3 linked regions of the Ovis aries genome follow. The protein of the gene in region 3 purifies or fractionates together with the protein of the main gene of each other region. This does not show direct contact. Links are inferred from orthologs where the notes say so. Each region holds a gene or a part of one and is shown on either strand. Other genes may lie near its edges. The genes, in order: TNKS1BP1, CNOT1 and CNOT6.

Region 1 (9,811 bases), on a different chromosome or scaffold from region 3:
AGACACCAGCACCTCCCCTGTCGGCGGGATGCCTTCCCACGCGGGGTCTCTCCGAGCCCCAGCGTCCCCACCTGCAACCCAGGGCCAGGGCAACAATGTCCACCTCGTGGTCAGGAGAGGATTCAGCAAGATCTGCGCACCAGGCCGCTGTGAACAGCACCGGGGAAGAACGGACACCCTGGGGCCCTGGGACCCCCAGCATTTGACCCCCCTTCACCCCTGCATGCCGCGACCTGAGTCTCGTTCTATCTGACCTCTGCTCTCCCCAGAGGTCAGGCCCCCCACCTTCTCCCATGGAGGGCTGTCTGCCCACCACCACCTGACCCCTGGGCCTGGGCAGGGGGGCATCCTGTTTCCGCGTCAAGGCCACCCTCCGATCCTTCCAGCCCGCGCAGACGAGTCCCAGGTTAACTTAGAGCCTGTGCCCTTAAACCACGCCCCCCAGGAACCCTCCTCCAAGAGCCCAGGACAGACCCCTCCGCCCTCAGAGCAGAGCTCCTGGACCACAGCCGCTCTCCCAAGCGCTGCCCCTGGTAAAGAGCTCACAGCGGTTCCTGAAGCCCCACAACTGACCCATCCAGCATCCTGGCTCCGCTCCCTGACCTCCTCTTCCCGACTTCCCCAGAGCCCACCTCTCTGAGGGTCCACCCTAGACCTCGTCCTCAGCCAGAGCCCCTCCGGAGCGTCAGGTCTAGGGGACCTGCTGGCCTGTGTCCACCCCCGTCCATCCAGCACCCTCTCTCCCTCCCCTCCGCCTGTCTCCTCCCTTCTCCCCGTCCCACTCCCCTCTCTCCTCCACCATTGTGTGAACTCCCTGTATTCCCCTCCCCAACTCCAGTTTAACCTAATGCAATACAGCTCTGCCCCAGCTCCAGACTGCACCAGAGCAGCTGGAGATAGCCGCCGCTGGGATGGTGGGTTCCCTGCAGCCGCAGCCGCAGCCGCCCCGGGCTCAGCCAGAACGCCCAGCAATCTCACGACATCCCCCTTCCATGCACCCCCACCTCCCAGCGACGCTTTCCCATCCAGTCTGTCCTCAAACCTCTGCACCTCTGCCCAGGCTTTCCGGGCTGAGGGCCTTGCTCTCCCTCCCCGAGGACTCAGAGACCCCCACCCGGGCGCCCCACTCCTGAGCCGTCCCTGCTCAGAGCTCAGGCCAAGCCCTCCTCTCTGTGTCCAGCATCACAGATTTTTTTCCTTCTCTACTGGACCGTTTCCATCCGCACACAAACTGCCCTCATTTCTTCTGGCTTAAAGAACACACACATGCTGCTGTCCAGCCCTCCCATCTCTCCAGCTGCACCCCTTTCCTTAAACCCGGCCTCTGCATTCAGCACCTCTAACCTCAGCGCCTTGGGCCCGGCCTCCGCTGAGCCCCCTCCAAATGGGCTCCCTTCTTCACTTCCACCACCCTGCCGCTCCAGCCAAGTTCAGCCACGACCCCCCATGCAACCCCCCATTCTCAGGGCGCCCCTTCCTTGCCCCGCAGGCACCACCTGATCGCTGACCGCCCGCCCTAGTCCCTCCTCCAGCCTGGGCAGCTCCTGTGCTCCACGCCAGCAGGGTTCCCTCCTAACCTCTGCTCCTTCCTGCATCTCCTGGGCTCCTCTGCCAGGCCTCGTCTCCCTCCCACGCCTCACCCATGCCCTCGGGGACCCCAGCCGACTCCAGGGCCATCTGCACACCGACAAGTCCCTGCAGCTCCGGACTCAAAACGCCCCACTGACCCCCTCGGACCCCGTGGGATGAGGCGTCTCCAGCTCAACAGATCCAGAAGCAAGCTCCTCCGGTCTTCCCAACATTACGAAGGCCCCCTTCTCCGTGAAGGGTAACCTCCCGACCACTTGGGCCATAGACCCCCAGCGGCACGCTTCACTCTCCGTTCACTCCCCCAGATCAGCCTTGCCTGCAAGTCCCGTCCACTCCACCTTCACATCAGAGGCCCCACCCACCCACCGTCTCCCCCAGGGACTGCCTCCAGGATCCACAGCACTGTCGTCTCTCACCAGGGTGACCCCCAGAACCCCCCGACTGGCCCCTGCTGCTGCCCCTGGCCAAGATCTTGGGCAGGGAGACTCCTTGCAACGGCAGCAAGGTCACGCCTCTCCTCCCGCCCCTCAGTGGCCTCCTTCCCTCCTGCAAGCCAGCACTCCCCGCCCCGAGTGGCCCATCACCACCCAGTCTGTGACCCAGACACCCCAGCTTCCTCGCTGGGTGGAGCCCACGTCCTTTGTAGCTGCAGCTCCCTCTGCCAAAAAGGCTGTTCCCCAAACATCCAAGAGCTCACCCCATGCCCCACTTCCTGGCAAGGACTTCCCGTCACCCTCGCCCCGGGACCCATGCAGGCGGGGTCCCAGGTGCCTGTCTGATGCTCTGCACGTCTGCCGGGTCACAGGGCGCCCAGTGTTGGAGTCTGCCTCCCCGCGTTAGAAGGCGCGTTCCTCGGGGAGCAAGGGCTTCCCTCGTGGCTCAGACAGTAAAGAATCTGCCTACAAGGCAGAAGACCTGGGTTCGATCCTTGGGTCAGGAAGCCCCCTGAGAGAAGGGAACGGCTACCCGCTCCGATATGCCTGCCCAGAGAACTCTGTGGACGGAACAGCCTGGTGGGCTACAGTCCACGGGGTCACAAAGAGTCGGACAAGAGTGAGGGATGGACACACGCTTTCCTGGAAGCAGGGGGACTGTGGACGCTTTGCTTGTGGCTGTCTCCCCGGCACCAGGATCACAGTGGATGCTCGATAAATACGTTTGGACAAATGCACACTCTCAGGTCTCTCCCCCTGCTGGACGGGACAGCCTCCAGCTAGCAAGGGCTCTGGGAGCAAAACAGACCACCCTTCGCATCATCTACTCGGGAACGCAGACTGTCCACCCCCGAGCACACCATGGGCAGAGGGGCTGTAACAGAAGACCCCCGTGAAACATCACTTCCCCTCTTCTGCGAGAGGGCAGGCCTGGCCAGGGACCGTGCTGGACTCGGATCCTGCCTTCAGCCCCTGGGCAAGCTATTTGGCACCTCAAGCCCCGGCGTCCGCACCTCTCGCATGGGACCTGAGGGGCCTATTCAGTCAGAGTTATGACCGGGTTACGTCAGTCAACATCCCCGAGGTTGCCCAGCAGACAGTAGGCTGTCCAGGGCAGTCATCCTGGACACTGTAGGAGCCTCAGGGCCTCAGCCACACTTAGCCAGGGTGGCCTGGAAGTTGAGAAATCTGAGTCCTGACGCAAGTCACGTAAACATCCTCCACAGCCTCTGTTTCCCCAGCTAAACTGAGGGAGGCGGGAGAGAGGCACAAACGAGGCCCTTCCAGCTCAGAGACTGCGTCATAGCAGGTAGGGAACTCACGTCAGTCACGGGCTCAGAGATCGCCGGCTGGGCCAGGTCCCCGTTGAAGGCCAGGTCCGAGGGGCACTTCCTGTGAGGGAGAAAGAGGAGAGACGGAGGCACGGATCACGCAGGTGGAGAAGGAAGGGGTGATCAGGGGTCTGCCTGATGACCGGGACAGAACCTGACGTGCACCCCGCCAGGGGCACGTCCTCCCAGGGGACAAAAACTCTGGCGGCTCCGAGAGAGAGCACCCCAGGGCCAGCGCATGTGCCCCACCTGCATGTCAGGAGGTAAGCCCCCCCAACCCCTCTGGGAAAAGCCCGCGCAGGCCCAGAGCCCTTGGGGCTCCTGGTAAGACCACCAAACCCCAGAGCCCTTGAGGGGTTAGGGTTCTCCGGGCCAGGGCAGCTGGCCCCTCCCCAGCCAACGCTTCCGGAGAACTGCAGGGGGAGGGAGACCACCAGAGGAATTTTGCAAGGTCGAGGTTGCTCCTTTCAAGCCAGGCTGGGAGCAAAGGAGGGGAAAGAGGGCGGAACCCAGCCTGAACAGAGCAGGCCTCCAGGGAGCCCAGGGGGACAGGAGGCCTCGGGTGTCCATATTCCCAGGAGAGGCTGGCGGGCACCACAGGCGAGACTCTGGGCCTCCAGCTCGGCTCAGACCACGGCAGGGCCTTCTCCGCAGCAGGAGCGGGGTCAGCGGGGCCAGAGAGCTGCGGGGCCTGGGGGGCAACGAGCCCAAGCTGGTGCTCCCTGCCCTGAGGATGCTCCAGGCAGCTGGGACCCTCAGCCTCCTCCCCGGGGCCCAGGGACACATCCAGGTCAGGAGCCCCCAGGACACGCTGGCACGGGCTCTGGGAAAGGGGATGCTGCCCGCAATGGTCTCCAACCCAGCTGTGTGGCCCGCATGCTCACATCCACTGGCCTGGCGTCAAGGGGTGTTCACGGCTTTCCTCTCCTGTCAGACTCCTCTTCACGGCCAGGCTGTGCCACACACACACACACACACACACACACACACACACACACACACTCCAGCAGACACACACACAGATACATACCCCAGCACAGATACACACAGACACAAAGACACACACACACACCCAGCACCTGGCACACCGTTGCACCCACAGGGCGGGCCAGCAGTTAAGAGCACACACTGGAATCAGAGAGGCCCTAATTCTAACCCCAGCTCTGTCTGTCACTTGCTAAGGGACCAGGGGAAGTCACTTTTGAGCCTCAGTTTCCTCATCTCTAAAATGGGCCTAATACTGCCTTTACTACACAGGATAGCTGTGGATTAAGTGAGGCAGAGTTTGGCTCCCCATATTAAAAAAGCACTGAAAATAAACTTCCAAGCTATACATCTGAATTCTCCTACGGACTCTGTGCAGAGGACGACTGCAGAATGAAGCACACACTCACTCAGTCTGCGGAAGGGGGCGGGGCGGGGAGGGCGGTGGGTGGTCCGTGACTGTCACGGGTTGACCCGCACGCACGCGCCGTGCAGCACAGCTAACCTCCAAGGGAAGATCACCATCTCACAGGAGACTACCCACCCTGTCCTCCAGGCTGGCCGCAACCAGACACACAGCCCCCCACCCCTCACCTCTGCTCGGGGGTCTCGCTGGGCTCCTCGGGGCAGTCGGCAGGAGACCCCGCGGGCCCCTCCTGGGACCATTCCTTGGAGAGGGTCCCAGCATCATCCCTGGGGCCTGGGGCCATGCCGTAGCTCCTGGGACCGTATCTGGAGCTGCCGTCGTGATTGAAGGTGAGGCGGGAGCCCCAGAGGCGGTCGGGGCTGGCCGGGCCCTCTTTCCTGGGCTGGTCCATCTTGGCCAGGATCTCCTCCACCGTGGGCGCGGCGAAGCGCTCCGGGGCTGGGCGGAAGGGGAGGGGCGCCTTGCGCACACCCCCAGGGGCGGCGCATCGGGCCGGAGGGGTCAAGGGGGGCGTCTCTTCTTTCCCAGGCTCCTCTTTCCCAGGCTCCCGGGTGCCTTCTCCCCCAGCCAGGGCTTCCGCCGCAGGCCTTGGCGCAAACGGAAGGGGCCGCTTATTGCCGCCGTAGGGCTGGGGTCCCGCCAGCATGTTCATCTTCCGGGCAGAAGGCAATTCGGCCAGAGGACCCCGGGGAGGCCGAGGCCCAATGGGCACCAGCAGGCTGGGCTTCGCAGGCAGGGCTGGCTTGCCAGGCAGGGCTCGGGGTTTGGGCTTGACAGGGGGTTTGGCCCGATGGTCACCTACCAAAAGGAAAAGGCTGGTTGAGCCGATGTCAGAAGAACAGGAAGCAGAACTTCACCTCCCACCCTATGTACTCAGAATGTTCCCACACCCTTCCATGTACAAATCAAATGTCACCGCTTCCATGAAGGCTTCCTGGATTTTCCAGACACATCCCAGAAACATCTTCCCTCATCTCCAAATTCCTGAAATGTCTAGCCAGTCACCCTTAAAAGTGAAAAGCCATTTAAGGCCCCAGCTGGCAGCTATTTCTCACTGTACCCACTCTTACCAAGTGAATGGCCAGACGACCAAATGGGTTAATAAATGAATGCCTGCCTGCCCACGCCAGGCAGTCGGCCCTCCATCTCCCCCAGTCTGGTCCTTCCCTAGAGCATGCCATTCTGCTAAACTACATCCACAGCAAACTCGTTCTCCCAGCTCAGCTTCCCTACCCTGCCACCCTGCTGGCCCCCTCCTCAGGGGCACACCCAGGCCACCTCCCCGCCACCATCCACTGTGAGACCAGGAAGGCAATCTCACTATTGACCTAAGCCAAACAAAAAGAAATCTGCTACAGAAGGAAAAAAAAGACCAGAAACATACCTTCTATATAAGGCATTTCAATGCCAAATAAAAGACCTTGAATTACTCATGGCCACAGCCCTGCTAATAGGATCCTTTATCACCCACTCATTCCACTCGGCGCAAGAAAGGTGTCTAGACAGGGAGCCAGGAGGCCTGGGTCCAAGCCCAAAGATGCATGCCCTCCCCGCCCCCACACCCAGGCCTCAGTTTCCTCCTCTGTCAAACAGGTGGTTTGATCCACACCCTCTCCAAGGTTAGCGTGCTCTCTGCTGGAGAGCTGTGATCCGCAGTTCCGAAGGGTCTCCACCGGAGCAGAGGGCTCCTCCCGCTGGTCCTCAGGACTCCTCCCTCCCTCCCCAACAGAGTCAGCCTTCACCCACCAGCCCCCAAGACCGAATGGGGGTTCGGGCCTCTGGCCCCCTTCCCAGCCAGCCCGCTCCACCCCGCACCTACAGGTACCTGGCTCAGAGCCAGCGGACACCAGCTCCTCGTCCGGCTGGCGGGGCGCGGGGGAGGCCATGGCTGCGCCTTCCCTGGGAGCAGACTCTTGCATCACATGCGGCAGACCTGGGAGTCGGGGGCAGAGCGGTGTGGGCTGGGGGCGGCGGAAGACCCAGGAAGAAAGGAGGGAGAGCGGAGAGAGGGCCAGAGAGCTGTGCGCTGGCAGCGCGCCGTCTCTGACTTCTGGCGGAGGCCAGTGCGGGACAGGAAGCGGGCGCTTCAGGAGGGGCGCTGGGGGAGGTCACGGGAGGTCCCCGGCGGCCACGTCCTCCTCTCTGGCCGCTCCCCCCCCCCCCCCCCCCCGACCCTGCGACAGCTCTCCAAGTCCGTCTCCTAACCCTAAAGTCCTGCAGGTCCGACGAGCCGCCCCCTGCTCCCTCCTCCAGCCAGCTGTCCAGGGCACTCCACTTACCATTCCCAAGGCACCCCCCACACACACACTCCTTGGGTCCGGGAACCCCGCTCGAAGGATCAACTCAGGGCCGGGGCAAGAGGGCTGCCAAGTCTGAAGTCTCCGGGTGAATCACCTCGCGGGAGACGGGAAAAACCCGCTCCTCCCCAACCTGGGCCCCGCCCCGACACCCGCCTGCCCCGCGGGCCTCCCCTTCCCGCTCCCTGGCCTGCCGCTGGGAGTGGTTCCCTCCCTGCCCCCCGAGTCCCCCTCCTCCCTCCACGTCCCTGCCCCGACTCCCGCCTCCTCCAGAGCCGTCTCATCCAAACACGGAAAAATAAGGAATAAAAAGTAAACATCTGGAATACATTTTTTTTCCCTTTAATTTCTCAATCGCTTTGGCTTCGGCTTGGAATTTGATGAGGTAAAGTCAGGGCCTAGTCCTGTTGCCATAGCAATGGCCTCCCACTGGATTTCCAGAGCCTCGCCAAGAGGAAGGAGGAGCCGGCCCAGGCCCGGGGCTGGGAGAATGAGACCTGGCTCGAGAACATCCGGGGGGCGGGGTGGCTTGGGGGAAAAACTCCCTAGGGCTCCCCTCCTGGGCTCGTCACCGTGGGAGGGTCCACAGCTGACCAGAAGGAGCTACCTGGGCATCACTCACCAGCCTGGGCCTGACCCGAGGGGTTTCGAGGGAGACTGCGGAAGATATTTTAACCCACATGACAGAAGCCTATGGCCGAGAGCAAACGGGTGCCCCTCCTCTCGGCCTGTAACTGGAGCTCCGGGTCTGCTCCACCAGGATTCAAATGCTGGGTGGGTCTCCTGCCTTCCAGCTCTGTGACCTCAGGCACCTTCCTCACTGCTCTAAACCTGTTTCCCTGTATGAAGAACACGCTGAGACTTAACACACTCGTTAAGACTCCAAACTTCCACCGCACACTGCAGGCGGCACCAGTTCGATCCCTGGTTGGGGTACTGAGGTCCCACATGCTGGGAGGTGTGGCCAAAACTAAAAAAAAAAAAAAAAAAGGCTCACATGAGACGATCCGTGCAGCTGCCGACCTCAGTGGCCAGCACCCAGTAAGTGGCCATTAAACGGTGGCTCCTATTAGGAGGCTTCCCTTGGAAACCATCTCGTCCTCTCCCCCAACCACAGGCTGCCAGCACTGCGGACCACGCCTGGTCTCCCGAAGAACCCAGTCTTGTCACCTGTTCTCAGACACTCCACCACTTCCTCAGGTCCCATCCTGGGTCCTGAAGCGCCATCCCACCCACAAGAGGCCCCTGGACTGACCACTGCCCCTGCCTCCTTGATAGAGCCCCCGGCCCTCTGTTCCAAAGGAAAAGCGATGTTTCCTATCACCTGGCATGCATGGGGTCCCTGAGGACAACCCAACCCTCTCCAACCTGCAGGGGCCCTGCCTTGCCCAAAGTCACCCACTCCAGCTGGTCTGGCAAGATAGCAACAGATCCAAAGAAGGGACCTCAGGTGCCCAACTTCCGGGAAAACCTCTCACTTCTGACCCTGCCCCAGCTTGTTCCCCAGATAGGAGGGACTAGACAGGAGGAAAAGAGACATCCAGGCCCGTGCAAGTCCGGTCAGCCAAGTCCGGTGCAGCAGGCGCGCTGTGGGTGGGTGAGTAACATTCACAGCCGGCCCGAGTGTGCGTGGAGGAGGGGCACGCGGCAGAAAACATAAAATTCAAAAAAAAAACGCAAGGCTGTTTCCTTGTCCTTGAACGTTATTACCAGGGATACATGGTGTGGGTGGTTAGGAATGGAGACCAGCTGGTCCAGAACCGAAAACCCTTTCACCTGGAGGCTCAGCCGGGCAGGGAGCTGTAGCACCCAAGAGGGAGGGCTCACTCCCCCAACTGAGGACGGGGTCTCAGCAGCTCAGACGCCCAGCGGGAAACCCGGGTGACCAGGGCCGGAGGGCAGAGCTGTGAAAATCTCAGCGGCTCTGAGCATCCCCCACGCGTTAAGAGTCCAGAGACCGGCTGGACCCTTAGGGCACAGGGGAGACACCAGGCGGCTCCTGCCCCGAGGCGGAGGCCCAAAGAAGCCTCGCCGCAGGCAGGGCCGCCTCCGCCGACCCTGAGATCTCCCTCCGGCCGGAGCCGGAGAGAACACTGCCGCAGGAGGGAGGGCCAACCGCGAGACGGGAGAGCCCGGGGCGAGGGGCCGTCTGGAAGGGCCCGGCGGGGAGCTCCAGGCACAGGGGGCAGCGGCCGCCGGGGGGAGGGGACGGCGGGCTGGAGGAGGGGGCGGCGAAGGCCCCGCGCGCGGGATGGGGCGCCGCCGGCGGACGGACGGACCGGGGCCCAGGGACGCGCGCCAGGCGGGGGCGGGCTGGGGAGGCCGGGGGCGTGCCGGGGGCGGGGGGCCAGCCGGGGAGAAGGGGGCGAGGGTCCCTCCGCCGGCTCCGCCCGCCGCGGGCTCCGCCTGCAGCCTCGGCCCCCTCCCGGGCTCGGCCGGCACGCGCTTCAGGCCCTGCTCCCTGCGCCCCCGCGCGTACGCCCGGGCCCCCGGACCCCCGGGCCGTGCAAACTTTCCTTGTGACCGCCCCCCGCCCCCAATCTCGGCCGCGGTCTCGACGCAAGAGCGCCCACCGCCCCCGTGCCTCGCCCCCGCCCTGGGCCCGCCCCCGCGCACTCACGCTCTCCCCGGAGGTCCGGCTCCACCAGGCCCGCGCTCCACACCTCGTCGTGAGTCTCAGCCACCGCCGCCGCCGCCGCCGCGGGACCGAGCCTGGAGGAGCCCGGGCGGGGCCGCCCTGGGCCCGCC
Region 2 (9,911 bases), on a different chromosome or scaffold from region 3:
GCTTGAACATCTGGAAGTTCACGGTTTAGGTATTGCTGAAGCCTTGCTTGGAGAATTTTGAGCATTACTTTAAGCACCTCCAAACATTTTTTTTTTTTTTCAAACATTTTATAACACAGTTTTCTGCAGACCTCAAAGTCTCAAAGTCCTTTGTCTTCTAGGTATTTTTGCCTCCACCCCAAGCCAATTCAATAAGGCTTTTGTTTCCTAGCACTTACATATTCTTCTCTAGGCTATTTTAAGAAACAGTTAAAAGAGTTTATATAGTTCTTCCAGAGTCTGGTATGCACAATTAATTGGGGGGTGAAGGATTGGAAGAAGGCTGAGCAAAGAGGCCAGGTGAGTAATTAACAGCTGGTAAAAATATCATGTTTCTAATTATGTTTGAACCCCAGAACACATAATTGCTGAGTTACAAGGTGATTCAATTCTTTGTGAAGGTCTCTAGTAAACTACTTTGTCTGGGCATGACTTCCAACTATGTCTTTCAATAAAATGAAAAAAGTATACCAGGTGATCTCCACTAACCCTTCCAACTGGAAAACATTCTATGCATCTCTCTCCTTTCTAGTGAGTATAGAAGCCACTCAGAATTCATGATAACACACAGTTGAAGACCTTTGATCTCCAAGCTATTTATGTGGGAGTCCTTGCAGGTACTAGGCTAAGTCCCCAAAACAAGTCAAATCCTAGGAGTAGTGTTGGTGTAGCTGGGGCTGCGAGTTTGGGGGTGGGAGGGAGGGGTTGGCAGTGGACAGAAGGGTCTCCCAGAGCAGCCTTAGGGTAAAGATAAGCTGAAGTGGGGAAAGGCAACTTAGCTTTATTTCATTCAACTTACTTTACTTTAGGAGATTTATGTCTAAGACCAACGACAATTCTAGTTGTAGAATTACAGCATTGATCTTAGATAGCTGACCTCTACAGGTATCTTTTTTAAAAAATATATTTTAAATTATACAAATGAAACATGAATACATCCTATTTTCAAAAGTTCGAATCTATGGTAATAAAACAAAACAAAGGTCAATCTTGTCAAAGCTATGGTTTTTCCAGTGGTCATGTATGGGTGTGAGAGTTGGACTATAAAGAAAGCTGAGTGCTGAAGAATTGATGCTTTTGAACTGTGGTGTTGGAAAAGACTCTTGAGAGTCCCTTGGACTGCAAGGAGATCCAACCAGTCAATCCTAAAGGAAATCAGTCCTGAATATTCATTGGAAAGACTGATTTTCAAGCTGAAACTCTAATACTTTGGGCACCTGATACAGAGAACCGACTCATTGGGAAAGACCCCGATGCTGGGAAAAATTGAAGGCGGGCGAAGAAGGGGACGACAGAGGATGAGATGGTTGGATGGCATCACCGACGCGATGGACATGAGTTTGAGTAGGCCCTGGGAGTTGGTGATGGACAGGGAAGCATGGCATGCTACAGTCCATAGGATTGCAAAGAGTCAGACAGGACTGAGCCACTGAACTGACTGACTGAAAATAAAACAAAAAGCAAAAGCTCCCATTACCCTTCCTCATTCCACTTCCTACCCAGGGATAACCAGTTATGTCAGTTGGGGGAAATGGCGTTATCTTTTCAAATCTTTTAATACACTTATTTACAGGTAAATACAAATATAGTTCCTTTCTCCTACACAAATGGTAACATACTGATTATGCCATCCGTTTTTGGTTTTGTTTTTCTTATTCTGCACCTAACGATTAACAATAAATCTTCGAATCATTCCATATTAGTACCTACAGACTTATAGTTTTAAAAAACTTTGCGGTATTCCATACTCTTATTCATCTTCTTTTCTATTGTGTCCAATCTTTTAGGACCTAATTAACCCCATCAATTAATATCTTTAAATATCCATCTCTGTACAAATTTGCAATATTCACCTGTGGAGTAAATTCTTAGATATTGGATCAATGGGTCTATGCATTTTCAGTTTTGATAAATCTGGCTAAAATTCTGCTATCCGTTGAGGTTTCAGCAATTTTATACAACAAGGTATAGGAAGGACTTATATTCTCATCCTTGATTCCCTGGTGGCTCAGACAGTAAAGCGTCTGCCCACAATGCAGGAGACCGGGTTTCGATCCCTGGGTTGGAAAGATCCCCTGGAGAAGGAAATGGCAACCCACTCTAGTACTCTTGCCTAGAAAATTCCATGGATGGAGGAACCTGGTGGGCTACAGTCCCTGGGGTTACAAAGAGTCAGACACGACTGAGAGACTTCACTCACTCACTGGTCTGTTTAAGGAATCTTCTATCACTAACATTATAATGTTTTAAATCCAATTCTCCATCGCATGATTTTTCAACATTTATTTTCTCACGTGTCTGTCAAGTGCCAGGCACTGTGCTAGGTGCTGGGATACAGCTATGAACAAGACTGAAGTAACCCTTCCGCTTATTGTACATGGGGTCCTTGGGTATCCTACACGTATTTGAAACCACCAGATACTCAGTTAAAGTTTGCTGGAAGAGTTGGCGTTCAATGAAGGCAGGTGTCAAAAAGTATTTTTAGGAGGTTAGAGAGATCAGTCAGTCACAAAAAGACAAATTATGCATGAGTCTACCTGTTCAGTTCAGTTCAGTCGCTCAGTCGCTCAGTCGTGTCCGACTGTTTGCGACCCCATGAATCGCAGCACGCCAGGCCTCCTTCTCCTGCCCCCAATCCCTTCCAGTATCAGAGTCTTTTCCAATGAGTTAACTCTTCACATGAAGTGGCCAAAGTATTGGAGTTTCAGCTTTAGCATCATTCCTTCCAAAGAACACCCAGGGCTGATCTCCTTTAGAATGGACTGGTTGGATCTCCTTGCAGTCCAAGGGACTCTCACGAGTCTTCACCAACACCACAGTTCAAAAGCATCAATTCTTGGGCGCTCAGCTTTCTTCACAGTCCAACTCTCACATCCATACAGGACCACTGGAAAAACCATAGCCTTGACTAGACGGACCTTTGTTGGCAAAGTAATGTCTCTGCTTTTGAATATGCTATCTAGGTTGGTCATAACTTTTCTTTCAAGGAGTAAGCGTCTTTTAATTTCATGGTTGCAATCACCATCTGCAGTGATTTTGGAGCCCAAAAAAGATAAAGTCTGACACTGTTTCCACTGTTTCCCCATCGATTTCCCATGAAGCGATGGGACCAGATGCCATGATCTTCGTTTTCTGAATGTTGAGCTTTAAGCCAACTTCTTCACTCTCCTCCCTCACTTCGCTGGATACAGGTGACCACAAAATCTTTTTTTAACCACAAAATCTTAAAAAAGATGTTTCTACATTTTTTTCTCCCGACAGCAAAGGGCATAAGTATTCCTTCTGCTACCACTAACAGGGACTAAGCCAAACAAAGAACCCGAGAGTTTCCTATTTCTCCGTAGGGAGTGCCTTCTTCCAGAGGCAGAACTAGACAGGAAAGTTCTCCTGACCGGAGCATGAGAGGACCAAATGGGACTACGTTCTCCAGAATGCATTGCTCTTCCTGGGGCGTCGTAAATGAGGGAGGAACTCGCACTACTTTTGCGACAGGGATGGGCGGAGGGGGAGGACTACACATCCCAGGATGCAAAGCGCCAGAGCGCTAGTTAGAGCCTCGCTTGCTTGTAGTTTTCTGGTAACCGGCGTTCCCCGCCAAAGAGACGCGGGGCAGGACGGGAGTGTTTAAGATTGGGAATCCCCGTGGTCTACCGGACACTTGACACTTCGAAAGAGAAAGGAGAGTACTGGAAGGCTGTTTTTCACTCTAACTCATAATAGTTCCCGCGCAAGGTGGAGAAGGCTTAAGGGCCCCCTCCTTTATTTAGTGTTTCTCAGAGGCTTTGCCAGACCCCCATTGGTCGAGGATCTCGAGGGCAGGTGGGAAGTCCATGAAGCCCCAAATCGAAGTTATCTGCTTCTCCCCATTGGCCCTCGCCTCGAGCGCAGGCGCGAGGGCTCCGACTCCAGTCCCTGGGGACTGGTGAACGGCAATTGGCCAAAGCCCGCGAAGTAGGAGTCTGGATTGGTAGTTGCTAGCAGGAGCCTGGTTTCTTCCTTGACTTCTGCAAGTGATAGTGTGTGATTGGTTTAAATCCGCGGGCACCTGTCGATGATTGGGCGGGAGCCACAGGCGGGGTGCGCTCATTGGCTGGTGCTGGGTCCATCCCTTCTCGGGCGGGCAGCAAATGATGAAATAGGAACGGGGAGGGGAAAGGCCGCGACGTGAGCGCGCGACCTCCGGCGCCATTTTGTAGAGAAACAAGCGGAGTTAACCGAAGAGGGGGTCTAGGAGAACCGGAGTCGGGGACCCAGGAGTTTCCTGTGTCCAGCGCCGTCGGAGCCGCTTGAGGTGTGGTGGGCTGGGGTCGGGTGCCGAGGCCGACAGGCGGTGTCAGCTACGGAACTTGGGTGCCGGTGCGGGAAGGAACGGGGGTGGTCCCGGGGCCACTGGGAGCGTTTCCCGGGGCTCCGAGGTGTGAGGGGCAGTCGGGACGGGGAAGTGGCGAGGCGGGAGAGGGCGGACTGTCTCCCCTCGGCCCGCGGAGTCTTCGGCCTCTGGAGAGAAGAGGGCTTGGTGAAAGCTCTAGGAAACCGAGGGCAGAGCGCGGAATGAGACCCGGGATTGGCCCCCCCTTGCCCGGGCCTGGCGGCTCTGAGGGCGGTGTTGGCGGCACTTGGGGGCGGCTGGGCCCTCGCTTCGCGCGGACTGCACCCTTCGCAGACTCCACGAGCTTCTCAACTGCCGGATGGGTGCTGCGGGCATCGGCCTCGGAGGCCTAGCTCCGGGGAGGCGGGGGGGGCGAGGTGCCCGTGTTCGGAGTAGTTGCCGACTCCGGGTTCCTCTCGGTGGACCTGGAGCTGCCAGTCCCCCTCCCCCGCCCCCAGCACGTTGTCAAACCCCGGGTGTTTCGGGTGTCCGCCGGTGGGAGGGGCGGGCGGGAGCGAGCACTTCCTCATTACTTCTTGCCACAGGTTTTGTTCCACTCGCGCGCCCGGGCGCTCACTCAGTCTCCAGAGTCGGCCCCCACCCACCTGGCTCAGTGTCTGTTCTGTAGTAGTGGTGCTACTCGCCCAGGAGAAGAGCTCTCGTAGTGAGCCGAGCATTTGGGAGGCCTCCGTGAGAGATACTATGGGTCTCCAGGGGGTTACATAAGGCCAAAAGCACAAATGTTCTTTTTCAGTCCCACCCCCTCTGCAGATTTCACCCAAGTGGGTTCCCACAGATGAGTACCCTTCCTAGGATTAAACTTTAATGCTTGATGTCTGTGGGTTTGGAGATGTGTTTAAAATAAACTTTGAGCAGGAAGCTTTTCCCTTTGAAGTCACTCAAACATCACATATTTTAGGACTCTTAAAAGTTTTTTTTCCTGAGAGTATTAACTCTTAGTCTCTCTTTTTATTTCTCTGTAATTCAGTTGCCTTGGGGAGTTTAACAGTTAATAACTGAGTGAGCATAGTTGGTTACTTTTTGCGGAGAAAATTCTGAGTGTTTACCTCGTGACAGTCCGTTTGATAGGAGTAGGGATACACGGATGGAAAAATGATTGGACAAATACAAAATCAGGAAGTAGGTCAAACAGATTAAGAACAAACTTGTTTATGTAGAAGTATTTGGGCTTAATATCCTCAGGTTGTCATATCTGTCCTTCCAGAGATTTGGCAGTGTAGTATTTTAGCTCTTAATAAGATATTTGGTAACAGTTTAAATTATCCTGTTTTAGGACATTCCAAATTGTTACCTTGTCTAAGGAGAAAATGAGCTGATGATACATAACGTTGTAGGCATCTAGTTGTGCTTTGAAATGGTCGCATGATAATACTTGTTTGGAGAGTTGGTCCCTTTTCAACAAGTGAAGGGTCCCAATTCCTTCCGTGGAAACAAGGCAGAGATTTGACCATCAGTAACAACGTCTTACCCTCTTCTTGCCTAAGATTGTAATCTTAGCAGTTTTAAGGCACCTTTTTCTGGCATTATTGTGGAACAACTGAAATGCTTTTGGTTCCTAACTCAAATGGATCTCTGGCTTAGCCAGAGAGAAATACAGTCTCTTAGATTTCTGCTGGGGTTTTAAGTACTGGTCTCTTTAATATGGATCTTGTCAGGCTAAGTACCGTAATGTCCTCCTAACTTTGGGTTAAGTCATTAAAAAAAAAAAAACAGAAGAGGAAATGCTTATTTCTTGACAGTATGCTTAAAGACTAATATCAAATTTGCTTGAATGTTCCTTTTTCCAAGTATATTTTTGGTTAGCTCCTGATCTAGTTACGAGAAGTTTCTTTTTAACCAACTTAAGTTTATGAATTTATGAACTTGAATCTTTATTTCATTCTACTGTGTAACAAATCTTTGTTACTCAATACTATGGAAGAGAATTTACCTACAGTAATTTAAATTGGATGCCCAGATTTTTCAAGACACTTATTTTTGGTAAGATGTTTATGATTCTTGAATTGTCAAAATTTGGAGAAGGCAGTGGCACCCCACTTCAGTACTCTTGCCTAGAGAATCCCGTGGATGGAGGAGCCTGGTGGGCTGTAGTCTGTGGGTCGCTAAGAGTTGGACACAACTGAGCGACTTCACTTTGACTTTTCATTTCCATGCATTGGAGAAGGAAATGGCAACTCACTCCAGCGTTCTTGCCTGGAGAATCCCGGGTCGGGGTGGGGGGCTGGTGGGCTGCTATCTGTGGGGTCACACAGAGTTGGACACGACTGAAGTGACTTAGCAGCAGCAGCAGTACCAGTCATAAACTTGGTGTTTGGTTTTTTTTTTGGTAAGAAAGCAAAACTAACTTGTAAGTCATTAAAAAAATATTGGTTGAAGCATTTAACTGGCCCTCTTTCCAAACTGAACTTCCTGTGGGGAAGTTTCAAAATGGCATCCTACTGAGTCTTATTTTAAGACCTTATATAAAGAAAGATCATGCAGTTCCTTTCCTATTTGCTCACAATGTTTAAGAAGCATATTTCAAAGCTAAAATGGGCTCAAATCCTTCATCCTTTTATGTACACAATAGTTAATTTTAAGGTACTTTTCATTCATGTATTTGCGGGAACGTAGCAAAGCAAATAAAACAAATTATTCGTTGAAAAACTCGTTTGAGAAGTCAGTAGAAGTGTAGACTTAATTTGAAATCCTGTGTTAAGATTTGAAGGAAATACAGCCTTTGGGAGTATGGAGTATAGGTTTGAGAAATGCATTTCTGGAAAAAAAAATGCATTTCTACCTCTAGGCTAAATTAGAATGTTGAAAGAGATGTTAAAGTGTCTGCAGTGGAGGTGTAGGTTTTGTTGTTGTGGGTTTTTTTGTTTTTGTTTTGTGGTGTTGGACTAATTATATGAAATGTAAAGTGAAAGCATTATTTGAAAGATACCATTTTATTGCTCTTAAGCTTCCTATTAAGAGCTCAACACTTCCCCTTTTAGATAATTAGTTTGAAAGTTTGTCACCTTGGATTTAGAGCTCTTAGGTTTGAAATGCAGCGGTACTGTTAATTTTTTTGTGAACTCATAATCAGAATAGTTACTTCTTTGTTTCAGACCCTGTCTTTTTTGCATTAGCTTTCTAACTGATCTCCAGTGTTTTTTGTTTATTGGATTTCTTTATTACATAAATAATACATGAAAATGTTGTAAATGTAAATGATTCCAGGAATGCAGTTAGTTTTTTATATTAAAGACAAATTGTCTACCAAGTCATTGGTTTGAATCTAGGCATTCTGTACTCAAGTTTTTCAGTACTTTGACCTATCACTGTGTAAGTATTGACCCCTCTGTACTCATAGCAACATGTTACTAACTTACGGCGTAGTTAAAAGGTTGTTGCAGAGTGGTTCCCAAATGCATTTTTGCCCCTATTATCTGGAGTGTCATCTGTAGTTACCAAAACACTACCATTCCAATTCATATCCACATGTACTGTCTATAATCTTTTCCCTGATTTCCCTAAGCAAAATTAATTTCTTCTTCCTCTTGGCTAGATTCACTTACCTGTACCATATATTGATTTGTAAGTTTTCTATCCTACTTTGTAGTAGGTAAGGAGTCTCTCATCCTCCAAACACATACAGTTGTCCTGAGTTGTAATTGAATAGTGCTTCCATTTGTTACACTTGGGTAGATTTATTGAACATGGCGTTCTTGGAAAACCATATACCCTGGTTTTTGTTCTTTGAGGGCACAGGCTGTTTCTCTTCGAGCTATATATACTTAAAATTCAGTTGACATCTTTTAGAAAGTTAAACTTTGAAATCTAGTCATACAGAATTAATGGTATGTTTAGAAAATTGAAGCCCAGGAAATTGAAGTGACTTCCTTAGATTAGTGTTAGACCAGATTTTCTTACTCTAGCCCACTGTTGGTTCTGTCTTGCCATACTACTAAAGTACAAGGAAAACTTTGATCGTTCATCAAAAAGGTGAGGATAATCTATGATCAACCACTTATTTTTGGAGGACAAGATACAAAATTTGAGTTTTTCATCTCTTCAGTGTGAAAAAATATAAAACTCAAGTATGACAGAAAAGATAGTCTTTTCTGTTACAGTTATTGAAAGTGGGCATTACTGAACTTCAGTGTAATAAACTTGTATTTATTTCTTTTGAGGCCTTCAGAGGATGAGTGGCTTTAAAAAATTTCCTTTTTTTACTTAAATTTTAAAATGTTCTTCACTGTAAATGGAGTTGTGAGACATTTGAGTAAGTTTTCTCTTGGTGTAGTTAGTTTTAAGGCATAGCTCTAAGAAGAGTTCTCTTATTTTTTAGCAGTCTTAAATACATGGCATAGCTTTGTAATTTTGCACATGTTACTGGGAAGATGCTTCTGAATATTTGATTTCAGATCAAGAACTGATTCTTTTCTGATTTTGGAGTAAGCATGCTTTTTGAGCTCTTTTCACTTTTTATAAATTGTTAGTTGCTAACACTGAACTGAACAATTGTTTATAAAGTATGCTGATGTATGGATTGTAGTCTCTTAAAAGTGTGAAGAGACTTTCCTGGTGGTCCAGTGGTTGAGACTTTACGCTTCTACTTCAGGGAGAGCTGGTTCAGTCTCTGGTTGGGAAACTAAAATCCCATGTGCTGCATGGCCATAAAATAAATAAAATTGTGAAGCTATCCACACAAGGCTATTAAAATGTTTTTCAAGTTAGTATTAAGATTCCATTGCCTTGAGTAAAATTAGCATATTTGAAGTAAGTCAACTCTTGATCAATTTGTTTTTATCCTTGGCAGAGCTTTCATTTCAAACCAATTTATTACCTGTCGACTCTTATGCCCTTGAATATTTCCTTATTCCTTGCCAGGTGGGTTCTAAGAAAAAGTTTTACACTAAACCTTTCTAAGCCTGGGAATACACAGTTTGGGGGTGTCCACAATTTGAATTACTCATGCTGGTGCTCTTTGTTCTTTAGGTAATGAAGAGATATGGATACCATGTATAGTCATTATGGCATGAGTATTTTAGGAATAATCCTCTTCCCTTTTCAGACAGTTATGCTAGATGTTACAGAAGTTGAGATTGTCAAAGGTAAACTTTAAAAATTCCTTGAAAGTATTTGATTTTTGTCTTCTCCAATCACTAAGCCCTCAAGGACTGGCAACTACAAAATGTTGGTATGATAAATTGCTTTAGTATACTAACCTAGTTTTGGGATATGTGTATAGCTTTTTAGAGTTCTTCTGTGTTTGGGTTTCAGTCACTAATTCTCTTAATGTGCTATTATCTACTTTGCTTTCTACCCTTGGCTCCCCTATGGTTTATTCTCATCTAGAGTGATTCTTACATTTTTATTTTATTTATTTATTTATTTTTATTTTACTTTACAATACTGTATTGGTTTTGCCATACACTGACATAAATCCGCCACAGGTGTACATGAGTTCCCAGTCCTGAACCCCCTCCCACCCCATATCATCTCTCTGGGTCAT
Region 3 (9,811 bases):
ACCTTTAGAAGTGCATTCCACCCAATTTAATCATGTCCTTAGGTTTCAAAGTGCTAACTCAAGTTTTCCTGGTGGTCACTAAATCAAGTAAAATAGAAAACATTTCTTGGAGTTGTTCCCTGCTTATCTTCTAGGACTGTTAAGTTGCAATCAACAATTTATTTCTACAACTTAAAATTATGCCATAAGTTAATTTTGATGAACATTATTTAAGTTCGTAAAGCATAAATAATCAGTCACTAATACAGTAAACTGTACTTCAAGAGATTTTACAAGGAATTGAGCACCTGTAAATTTCTGATCATTAAAAAGAAAATATACCCCAAATTTTCTGCAAAATATTCATAAGATGGGTTTATCCTGTAAGAACACTGAAATTACATTATGGCAACACCACATTAAATATGTTTGTTACAGAATTTTTGAAGAAAACCTATACTGTGAAAACTTACTAGTTTTTCTTTTTTTTATTTACTGCATTTTAGGGAGTACAGGTTACTGGAAATTATCCAGAACACAGAAAATATTTAAAACACAAACCTTGCTTAACCGAAGTTTCAGTCTATTTTGGTATGATCATTTATTCACTATAGACTGAAAACACTTTTTCTCTTTTGAAGCTTATGGTTGTAAATCTATACTCCTGGTTCAATTTACCACTATCTAATAAGGTGGAGAAGCTGTTCAAACTGACCCACAGAATGCAGTATGCCTAGAAGAGGCAAGAACAAATATTTTCAAGACATAAACAGCCATTGTATCTTAGTATGCTGGTTCCAAATTAAAATATTTTGTAGACAATAACAAATACAGATGAAAATATTTTGTGTAAAGCTCAAACCTTTAGCATCTAACAAGTGCACTCTAGTTCCAGCATCTATGAAAAGAATACATCCTCCATTAAAAACAGAGTAAGTGCTTCTCCCCTTCTTCCATAAAGCTCAAGCAGTTTCCTTCATCTCATCAGTCCAACCAGCTCCAGCTTGCCTTTGCTGGAAACTGTCATGATGCACACTACCAACACAGTGTTTAGGAAAAATGAGTAAACATCTTTTATTCACACTTTACAAAAACCAAAAACCCAAAAAGAAACCCTAAAGAAAGCTATGCATTGGTTCTATATCAATAATACCAGCTTTCCAATGTACTGATTATAAACCAGATGTGTTTGGTGTCAGCACAACGTAAAACAAAAGGCAAAAAATAAAAAACTATCACAACAAAATCTTAAAAAAAAAAGAAAGAAAAAGCAAACCTCAAAGGAAAAACCAGGTCCCAGACAAAGATTCAAGATCAAAACCTTTTGTAGAATTTTTTTTTAAAGGAAAAAAAAAAGAATCTTTTACTTAAACAGTGTGTAATTTTATTTTCTCTTAGAATAAGCACATTTAAGTGCTGAACATTTTTCATAAAATTTTAAGTCATTATCCAAAATGACTCATTCTCTGTATAAAAACTGTTATTAACAATCAACAATTTCTCTTCTTAATGCTCACTGGATACATGGTGTCCTTTTGCTTCCCTGCCTGCAGCTGAAACAAAAGCAGTTAGACCAAGTTCCCTCTGAATTCATTTGTTTTTTGAGAGAATGAATGAATGAGAACAGAACATATAGGAGTTCACTTTGCAAAGTTAAAGCTGGCTTTAATCTCTATCCTACTAATGGCACTACAGGCAAAATACAAGGTATAATATCTTTTATCTTGGTTGACATATTAAAATGACTTGGTCACTTTAAAAATGATCTGAAGTATTGTCTTAGGGACCTGTTTTGAAAATACATCTCATTTATTTTATACTGCTTCATAAACGGAAAATCACTTTTTTTCTTTTTTTAAAAAAAGGGAATGATTTTTTAAAAACATGGAAACTAAGGAATACATGGAAAACAAAAAGAATTCACATGATAGTAGTACTCTGGGTGATGAACAGCACTGTGCAATGACGCCAAAAAGCAGTGCTTGGGTCTGGCAAACAAAGACCCAGGGATCCCCACCCTATGAACACGTTCCAAAATGTGATATTCAATGCTTCACAATGGAAAAAACCCACAGCTCATACAAAAGGATTTTCATAAAACTCTCACAAATGTTAAACAGTATTTAAAAAATACAAAAGAGGATGCACAGATTTTCTCTGCATGCACAGGCAGTGCTTGGTGGGAACAAATTCAGGCAGGCACAGTGGAGATAGGACAAGAAGTGTCTCGAAAAGGAGTTAAGAAGCTGTACCTAAGCAGCCATAATTTTTTAACTTAAAAAAGTTAAGGATTTAAAAATATCAGAATGTACATACATCAACCATTACACATTCAGTCCATAAATGCCTTCGGATCATTCACTACTCAGATTATCTGTCCTGGTAAATAGTTTTTTGCAAAAATCCAGGAATTCATAGGTAAGTTGTCTCTAGTCCAAGCAAATGTCCTAAACTTTAAACAGAGTTAAATTTAATGTTTTCCATTTAAAAACAAAGTAGTACAAAAGGGCTAACAAAACCCTAACAGTGCAAATCATCAGCAGAGAAAGTCTGTTGCAACTTCTTTTACAAGCTTTATAACACATGAAACAGGTAAAAAAAACCTTAGCCTTAGATTACAATACAATCATTTCCAAATCTGATTTTTTTAGTACAAAATTTCATAAATCAGGTCTTCTGTGGATCATATACAATCATAAAGGCTAAATTCAAATTCTATATTTTACAAACAAGTCTGAAAAAGGAGGGAGTAAAGTACGGAAGAATGATCTCTGGATGTTATTACTGGCCTCAAAAAAGTAGTGCTACAGATTTCTGTGCAAAGAGAATATGCTGTTCAGTTTCCTATTTCAAGGCATGAAAATATTATATTGGATAGAAGAAACAGGAAAATTATTTGCAACAAATTAAAGATAGGTGCAAACACACCAATCCCTGTCTAACAGTATATAAAGCATACTGGGCTCAGAATTTGTTTGCTAGCACCTGGCTTTCATACTATATCCTTATCAAATGATCAGACTGAAAACTCAAATCATCATTAAGAAAAAACAAACCAACAAATCTTAGTGGCCATACCTCACTCCCCTATATTCAGAATTTTTACAAGTTTATGAGTAAAACTGAGGTCATCCTCTGAAGGTACTTGACTACCTCCTGCCAGGAAGGTGAATGCCATTAACCTGGGGCAGGAAAGGCAGTAAGAGCTCCAGTTGTGCAAAAAGTGAGAAGTGGTCAGAGGGGATGAGTGGGTGTGGGCAGCCGCTGATATTGTTCTCAACTAGCCAGTGGTGGTCCAGAGGTCCCAGAATGCCTAAAGTGTTCAGCTGAGGTTTAGAATAGAAGATGTAGTCAATTATACCCTGAAAAACAGAAGGCAAAAAGAAAAATAAGAAAATGACACATAAAATGACACTGAAATACTGAGAACTTTCAAGACATATCCTCAGTCGTGTTTGGTAAACAAAGAAATTTACTAGGCTGCAGAAAAGGGCAGTTATTACATAGATCAAATAACAACCCCAAACTGAGAATGAAGAAACCTTAGGGATGGTAATCCTTCTTCCTCCTATGTAGATCGTTTCAAAATCTTTAACGAGACCTAAAGAATCCTTCACGATACAGCCTCTGCTTCTTTTTCCTAACTTAACTTGTGACACTTTTCCTTGCTCACTACTCCACTGCCATACTAGCCCTTTTTGGGAAGCAGGGTGTGAACTGAGGTGCGTCTCCTGTAGGTGAGAAGCTCCGTCCTCCTCCAGGGCCGGCACACGTGTCTGCAACACTTTCTTCTACTTGTCACCTGACTAAATCCCTCTTAACCTTCAAGTGCCAAGTTTAATTACCTTCCCAAGGCCTTCTGGAATCCTACCCTTATCCACTTAAAGCTACCACCTGATTTTTTCCCTTGCTAATGTACACCCTTAAGTGCAACTATATACTCATTTGTGCGGCTGAAATCTATGTTCCCACCAGACTATGATGTCACAAAGGCCAAGCACATCTCTGCCTTTTACACCTTCAACAGCACTCAGGCACAGCATCTGGCACACAGCTAGGATACTCTTAGTTTGCTCCTCTCTGTCCAGTAACTGTAACAGTCTGTCCTTTACATGCTCTTGGCCAAAAGTATTTAAGCACATTCTAAATTCTTCCTAATTTTCTACCAGTAACAGTAGTCAGAAGGCAAACACCTCTAATCTCTCCCATCTTGTGGTTATCATCCTCCCCTCTTCTGCCATCAACCTCCTTGAAACGAAAATCTGTAGCTGGTTTTTTCACTCATTGCTCAGTTACTCTTCAACTCATTGTATTCTAGTTTCTCTGAACACCTCTACAGACAACTCTGAGCAAATCTTTCTGAAGCTTAACACTCACTCCTCTTTCCCTAGAAAGGCTTTCCTTCCTTGGCATTTAAGTTCCTTATACTGTCATGGTTTTCCACCTCTTTGATTACTATCATCATTTACATGTTAGTTTTGCCCAGTCTACTCTAGTCTCTCTTTAACTATACATACTCATCTCTGCCCAGTGTTAAATCATTATCTACGGTTCTATAGATCCTCGAAAGTCAAATAAAAAAATTTTTTAGTTTTCAAAAGTTTCTCAAAGGAGTCTAAATAACCCTCCCCTCTAAAATTAAGCAACAGTTAACACAAGTATTTGCACTATTCTAATAGACAATCTAACCTGAATGACTATTTTTTCAGCAGGTTAGAAATGGAAAACTAGGATTTAAGAGAGCAAAAATGCAAAAGATGGCAAAAAAGGACAATTGAACACAAGTCCTAAACAACCACAGATAATAAAAATGAGGAGAATTACTAGGAAAAAAACTCCACATTGTAATAATCCATTAATTGTATAAGAAGGCATATAAACAATATGTGTATTAGAAAATTTACAACAGCTAACAGTAAACTACATTTTGGTTCCCAAATAGTACAGTTTCAGTTAAACTGAAAGAGAAGAAACGGAACATCAAACTAACATCAAATAAAATACAATGGTCCTGCATATCCAGCTGTTAGTAATGAGCCCATTAAAAAAAAAAAAAAAAAAAAGCTCTAAAGAGATGACAGATAACTCAGGATTTAATATCATTATTTCATCTGATCTCTAACCTTAGAAATGATTCTAATAATATCTATAAAGTAGGGGTGGAATTCTAATCACATGGAATTCTACATAAGAATACTGCTGTCAGCTAATTTGAGATGGCTTAATTCCATTCTGAGTGTTAACATTTAAAGCCATCACAAAATTATAAAATGCTCTTGAAAAAAAAAATGGAGTTTTAAATGTTTCTTCATCTCAAAACTCACCTTAAAATCAAATGTGTAGTTGGTGTAAGGCATCAGGCCACTCTCATAGGCACTCTTTAACTTGAAGCCATGAGTGATCCTTCCATTGGTTGTCCCATTTTTCCCATTACAGCTGAAGTTCGTAAGACTTTCATTGTATCTCAGTTCCTTAAAGTCTTTATGATTTGTTTCTACTTCACCAGTGCTCAAATATTCTACAACACCTATAAAGAATATAAATGTACTTTCTGCATTGTTAAGTATAATATACAATGTGTAATACGTAACTAAACAGGTAATTCAAGAGTAAAGTTTTAAATCACACATATTCTCACTTTTTAAAATGTTTCACTATTTTCCACCTTTGCCAAAACTTGTATAAACACATTTTTTCCATGGTTTTAATCACAGTGAATATTTTACACTTTACCACATGAACTTATGTCATCTCAATTATTTTTTTTTAATAATTGTGTAACACAACAGGGCTGACATATAGTATTTGTTAAACCATTTCCCTATTTCTTAAAGTTCACGTTATTCCTTTTTTTTTTTTTTTAATTAACACCACAATCAACATCTTAGTATGTAGGCTTCTGCTCAGGGTCAGCATGAAATACCAACATTAGGATTCATTGTGCGTATGAATACATGAATTATGAAAGAATGACAGAGCCATCTCACCATCTCTGGACACTATTTTTCCAGTGTGCTAAGCATAAGGTGGGGCTTCCCTTGTGGCTCTGATGGTAAAAAAATCCATCTGCAATGTGGGAGACCTGAGTTCAATCCCTGGGTTCCGAAGATACCCTGGAGGAGAGTGTGGCAACCCACTCCAGTATTCTTGCCTGAAGAATCCCATGGACAGAGGAGCCTGGACAGATACAGTCCATGGGATCACAGAGTCAGACATGACAGAAGTGACTTAGCACACACACAGGCATAAGGTGGGCTCTGCAAATATTTAACTTTCATTTAATCACTTACCAAAACTAGACATTTTTCCATGTGTTTTGTTATTACAATGCAACATAGAAATGAGTCTTAAGATCTGTATCATGCGACAAGAGTCTCTCTTTGCCCCTCACATATTTTGTAGCTAAAGAGGATGAAAAGCAAATAAAGAACTTTCCAGTAATCCCCAGATGGCTTTGATGAGACAGACTAAAGAATTATGGATCTTAGGCACCTTTATCTCCCCCCAAAACAGATTTTAACATAAATTCTGTTTCATTATCTTTTCTTTCATCTATTGTGACAGCAGCAATATGCTACTGAATTTAACTACTCCAAGTGTGTGTGTGTGTGAATGCATGCATTCAGGCATGCAAGTAAGTTCAAGGGAAAGTTCTCTTGAGTATCCAAGAAAGTACGGTTGTTACTCACTGTACTATCTATGGAAAAGTTTAAGATTAAGGCTTTCTGTATCCTTCCACTCTGTGACTAAATATCAACATTCTTGATCCTTTTTTTGTTAAAACCACTGTCTGACCTGTGTAAACAGAAAAATCTCAAATTCCAACTGAGGTGCACAATGTTTCTAATCGAGTCTACCAAAATTTGAGGCTGGGTGATATACGGTCAAATTTAAACTGGATTAGATTACCACATGCTGGAATCCCAGAGTCTGTCTTAGTAACCTTTTCAGAGTCTGCAATACATAGAACATGGGGATAATAATATATGCCCATGTGTTTTCTGAAGATGATTAACATCTGGATAATATCCAGAGGATAATACCATTACCATTTACTATTTCATTTTATAATGAAGTGGTAATAATACCATTTCATTTTCAAAATGGTCTCCCTACTCCACACACACAAAAGATTTTTAACCTGATTGATAGCGGCCACTATAAACTGAATTTTCATTTTGACTAGATTTGGAATTATCAGAAACAACACATTACAAAAACATTTTAAGTCAGCAAGTGTTCTATGTAAGATAGCATTGTTTTGTTTACCAGAGTCCGGCAAAGAATTAAGATCTGCACATAACACTAGTGGAATAGTTCCAAATTCTCCTAATACATTGGACTGGAGACTTCTCGAGGCTTTATCAATAATATTCTTCACTTCTGAGAGGAACATCATCGTTTGAACCAACTTCACATCGGAGTATTCAGGGTCCCAGTGCATATGAGCATTAGCCACGAGAATAAGCTGCTTTTCTGTTCCAAGATGTGGCTTTCCAGCTATATCAGATAAAAAGAAAAGAAACAAAGCCCATATATTCTCACATGGTCTGAAAGCAAGTAATATCTCAGAGTCCCGGGAATTTAAAAAAAATGCTAAAATCTGGTTGAAAATCTCCCATCTAAAAACTGATCTACCCTCTGCAACAAACCTGAGAAACAGACATCTGGCCTCTGGGATGAGGACTTCCAGCACAGGGTATTCACTCTTTGAACAGAGAGCCCATACTATTTGGGACAGCTTGGTTTTTAAATAGTTCCAGCTCCTTAAAACTTCTGATTTTCTAGATGTCCTAAACTGAGCATCACAAAATTAAACGGACATCCTTTTTCTTAAAAAAACATTTTAAAAAGTCACTAAGTTCCATCTTCCATCTTTTCTATCCCTCAGATTATATATCCCCATTTCCAGCTGCTCCTCAGGTGAAAGAAGTCTCAGTTCTTACCATGATGATCACTCTCTAAATATACATTTAATCTGAAATAGGTGGTCCATTTCTCCAAGACTTAAGACCTTTAAAATAATGACTAAAAGCAGGTCAGGGAGAGAAGTCAACACAGAAATATCCTTGTTGCCAAGAAATTGTATTACGTGTACAGAATTCTTCTCTCTGAGCAGTTATTTTAACTAATATTTACTTCAGTATTTTATGTGACAAATTCTCGAGCAGAAAAAACCTTGTGTATGCCTTTTAAGATTTGAAATACTTTTCTAGGCAATGCTTCCTCTTCTTGAGCTTTGCGGTAGAGAAAACTGGATGAGATTTTAGAAAAGATTTAAATTCTGAATTTCTTCAGGCATTAGACAAGAGTATTACTATGAAACATTTTGTGTCGTCTATTCCATTTTGGAGGCCAGATTTTATAGGAAGTGAAAAGGTCACTCACATGATACTTCAATCAGTTCCTTTCGAAGCTCTAGCAGTACAGCCACTCCTATGTTATCTTTCGTCATGACTCTGTTCAGCATGGCTTCAGACCCTTCTGAATTTGCCATTGCTAGTTGATTAAATTCAACAGTGTGTTTCTGAACCAAAGTAAATCTAAAACAAAACACACACAAATATAAAATTGGGGATACCAAGACATCCATTTTGTGGTAAATGCAATTTCCCCCCAACTTCCTTAACAGACATGATGACATGTAAATTACATTACAGAAAATCCTCCACACTTAGCACTAAGCTTCCCGTGTCCATTTCAGTTGCTCTCAGTCTGCCACAGATACAAATAACATCTTGAGAAACTTTTACAACTTAAGATAATACAGTCATCTTAAGACAATACAGTCATCTTCTATTTAGGTTTCATGCTGGAATATTCCATCTTACAATTTTAAAATAATTTTCTTCCAAAGTATGGGCTTAAGAATCTCTCTACCATCCCAGAGGGAATGCAATTACAAAGTGTTTCAATTAACAACTGGAGTTAAACCCTAGAAGACACCTGAAAAAACAGCAGAACTTTCAACATGTCTTCCAAAAACATTTTTTCTGATGAATCAAAACACCCTTTAAATCATAGTACTGTTTTCTTGAGAAATAAAATGTGCCTCATTCTCTTAGCTGCCAACTAATTTCCATTCCCTTGACCCTCATCCTGCAAATTCAGAGAATATTTTCTTTTCAAGAGTAAGATGACTGGGGAATTCCCTGGTGGTCCAGTAGTTAGGACTCTGACTTCCACTGCAGGGAAACAGGTTTGATCACTGGTCAGGGAACTAAGATCCCCACATGGCATGGACCCCCCAAGAAAAAGAAGAAAGAAAGAAGATGACTTACTTTTCTGTTTTAAAAAATATTGCACAGCCATCAACATGTTTTCTTTCTTGCTCTGACATTGTCCTAGCTCTAGATTTAGGACTAAAGAATCCATTATAGCCACGTTCTTTCAGTTCTACCAGAAAAAAACTGTAATACTGTTCTGTTTCAACTTCCTGAAAAATTGTAAACAGCAGTTATTTCATAAGACAAAAACCAGTCCTATGCACTATCTTTATATGTACAGTTTGAGACCTTAAAATAAATTCAAAGGACTGATCTGAAGAATGAAGAATTACATCTTTTCAATGTAATTTATCTGAAATCAGTCACAACACCTACTTGTCATTTTACAGGTACCTGTTAATAAAGTACCTCTTTGCTGTTTAGGAGTAAAGAATGGAAAGCCATATACCCCTATGCATATGTATTTCCTTATATTTTATATTTCCTGATATATATATTTCCTTATATTAAAACTGGTATAAACAAAAATCAGAACAGGAGAAGGAACTCCACAGATCAAGTTTCAGACCACAAGGAGAAAGTCACTTGCCAAAGGTCATGTAAGT

Evidence for each region.
Region 1: the proteins of CNOT6 (region 3) and TNKS1BP1 purify together in Homo sapiens (affinity purification with mass spectrometry; 3 studies listed by BioGRID and IntAct, with this or other methods). This does not show direct contact. The link is inferred for Ovis aries from reciprocal best matches to the Homo sapiens genes CNOT6 and TNKS1BP1.
Region 2: the proteins of CNOT6 (region 3) and CNOT1 purify together in Homo sapiens (affinity purification with mass spectrometry; 5 studies listed by BioGRID and IntAct, with this or other methods). This does not show direct contact. The link is inferred for Ovis aries from reciprocal best matches to the Homo sapiens genes CNOT6 and CNOT1.

The regions. Positions count from the first base shown.
Region 1 is NC_056068.1:79,347,364-79,357,174, forward strand, and holds part of TNKS1BP1 (182 kDa tankyrase-1-binding protein), read right to left. Parts: coding exon of another isoform or gene 9,037-9,811; intron 8,661-9,036; coding exon of another isoform or gene 8,438-8,660; intron 8,105-8,437; coding exon of another isoform or gene 8,061-8,104; intron 8,034-8,060; 5' UTR 7,686-8,033; intron 7,141-7,685; exon of another isoform or gene 7,046-7,140; intron 6,700-7,045; 5' UTR 6,686-6,699; coding exon 6,592-6,685; intron 5,565-6,591; coding exon 4,934-5,564; intron 3,417-4,933; coding exon 3,347-3,416; intron 1-3,346. Other genes in the region: collagen alpha-1(I) chain-like, read left to right, coding at 8,061-8,104, 8,438-8,660, 9,037-9,811.
Region 2 is NC_056067.1:25,970,950-25,980,860, reverse strand, and holds the start of CNOT1 (CCR4-NOT transcription complex subunit 1), read left to right. Parts: upstream 1-4,231; 5' UTR 4,232-4,330; intron 4,331-9,911.
Region 3 is NC_056058.1:420,557-430,367, forward strand, and holds part of CNOT6 (CCR4-NOT transcription complex subunit 6), read right to left. Parts: intron 9,416-9,811; coding exon 9,261-9,415; intron 8,523-9,260; coding exon 8,368-8,522; intron 7,480-8,367; coding exon 7,249-7,479; intron 5,507-7,248; coding exon 5,304-5,506; intron 3,342-5,303; coding exon 3,129-3,341; 3' UTR 1-3,128. UniProt on the Homo sapiens protein: Poly(A) nuclease with 3'-5' RNase activity.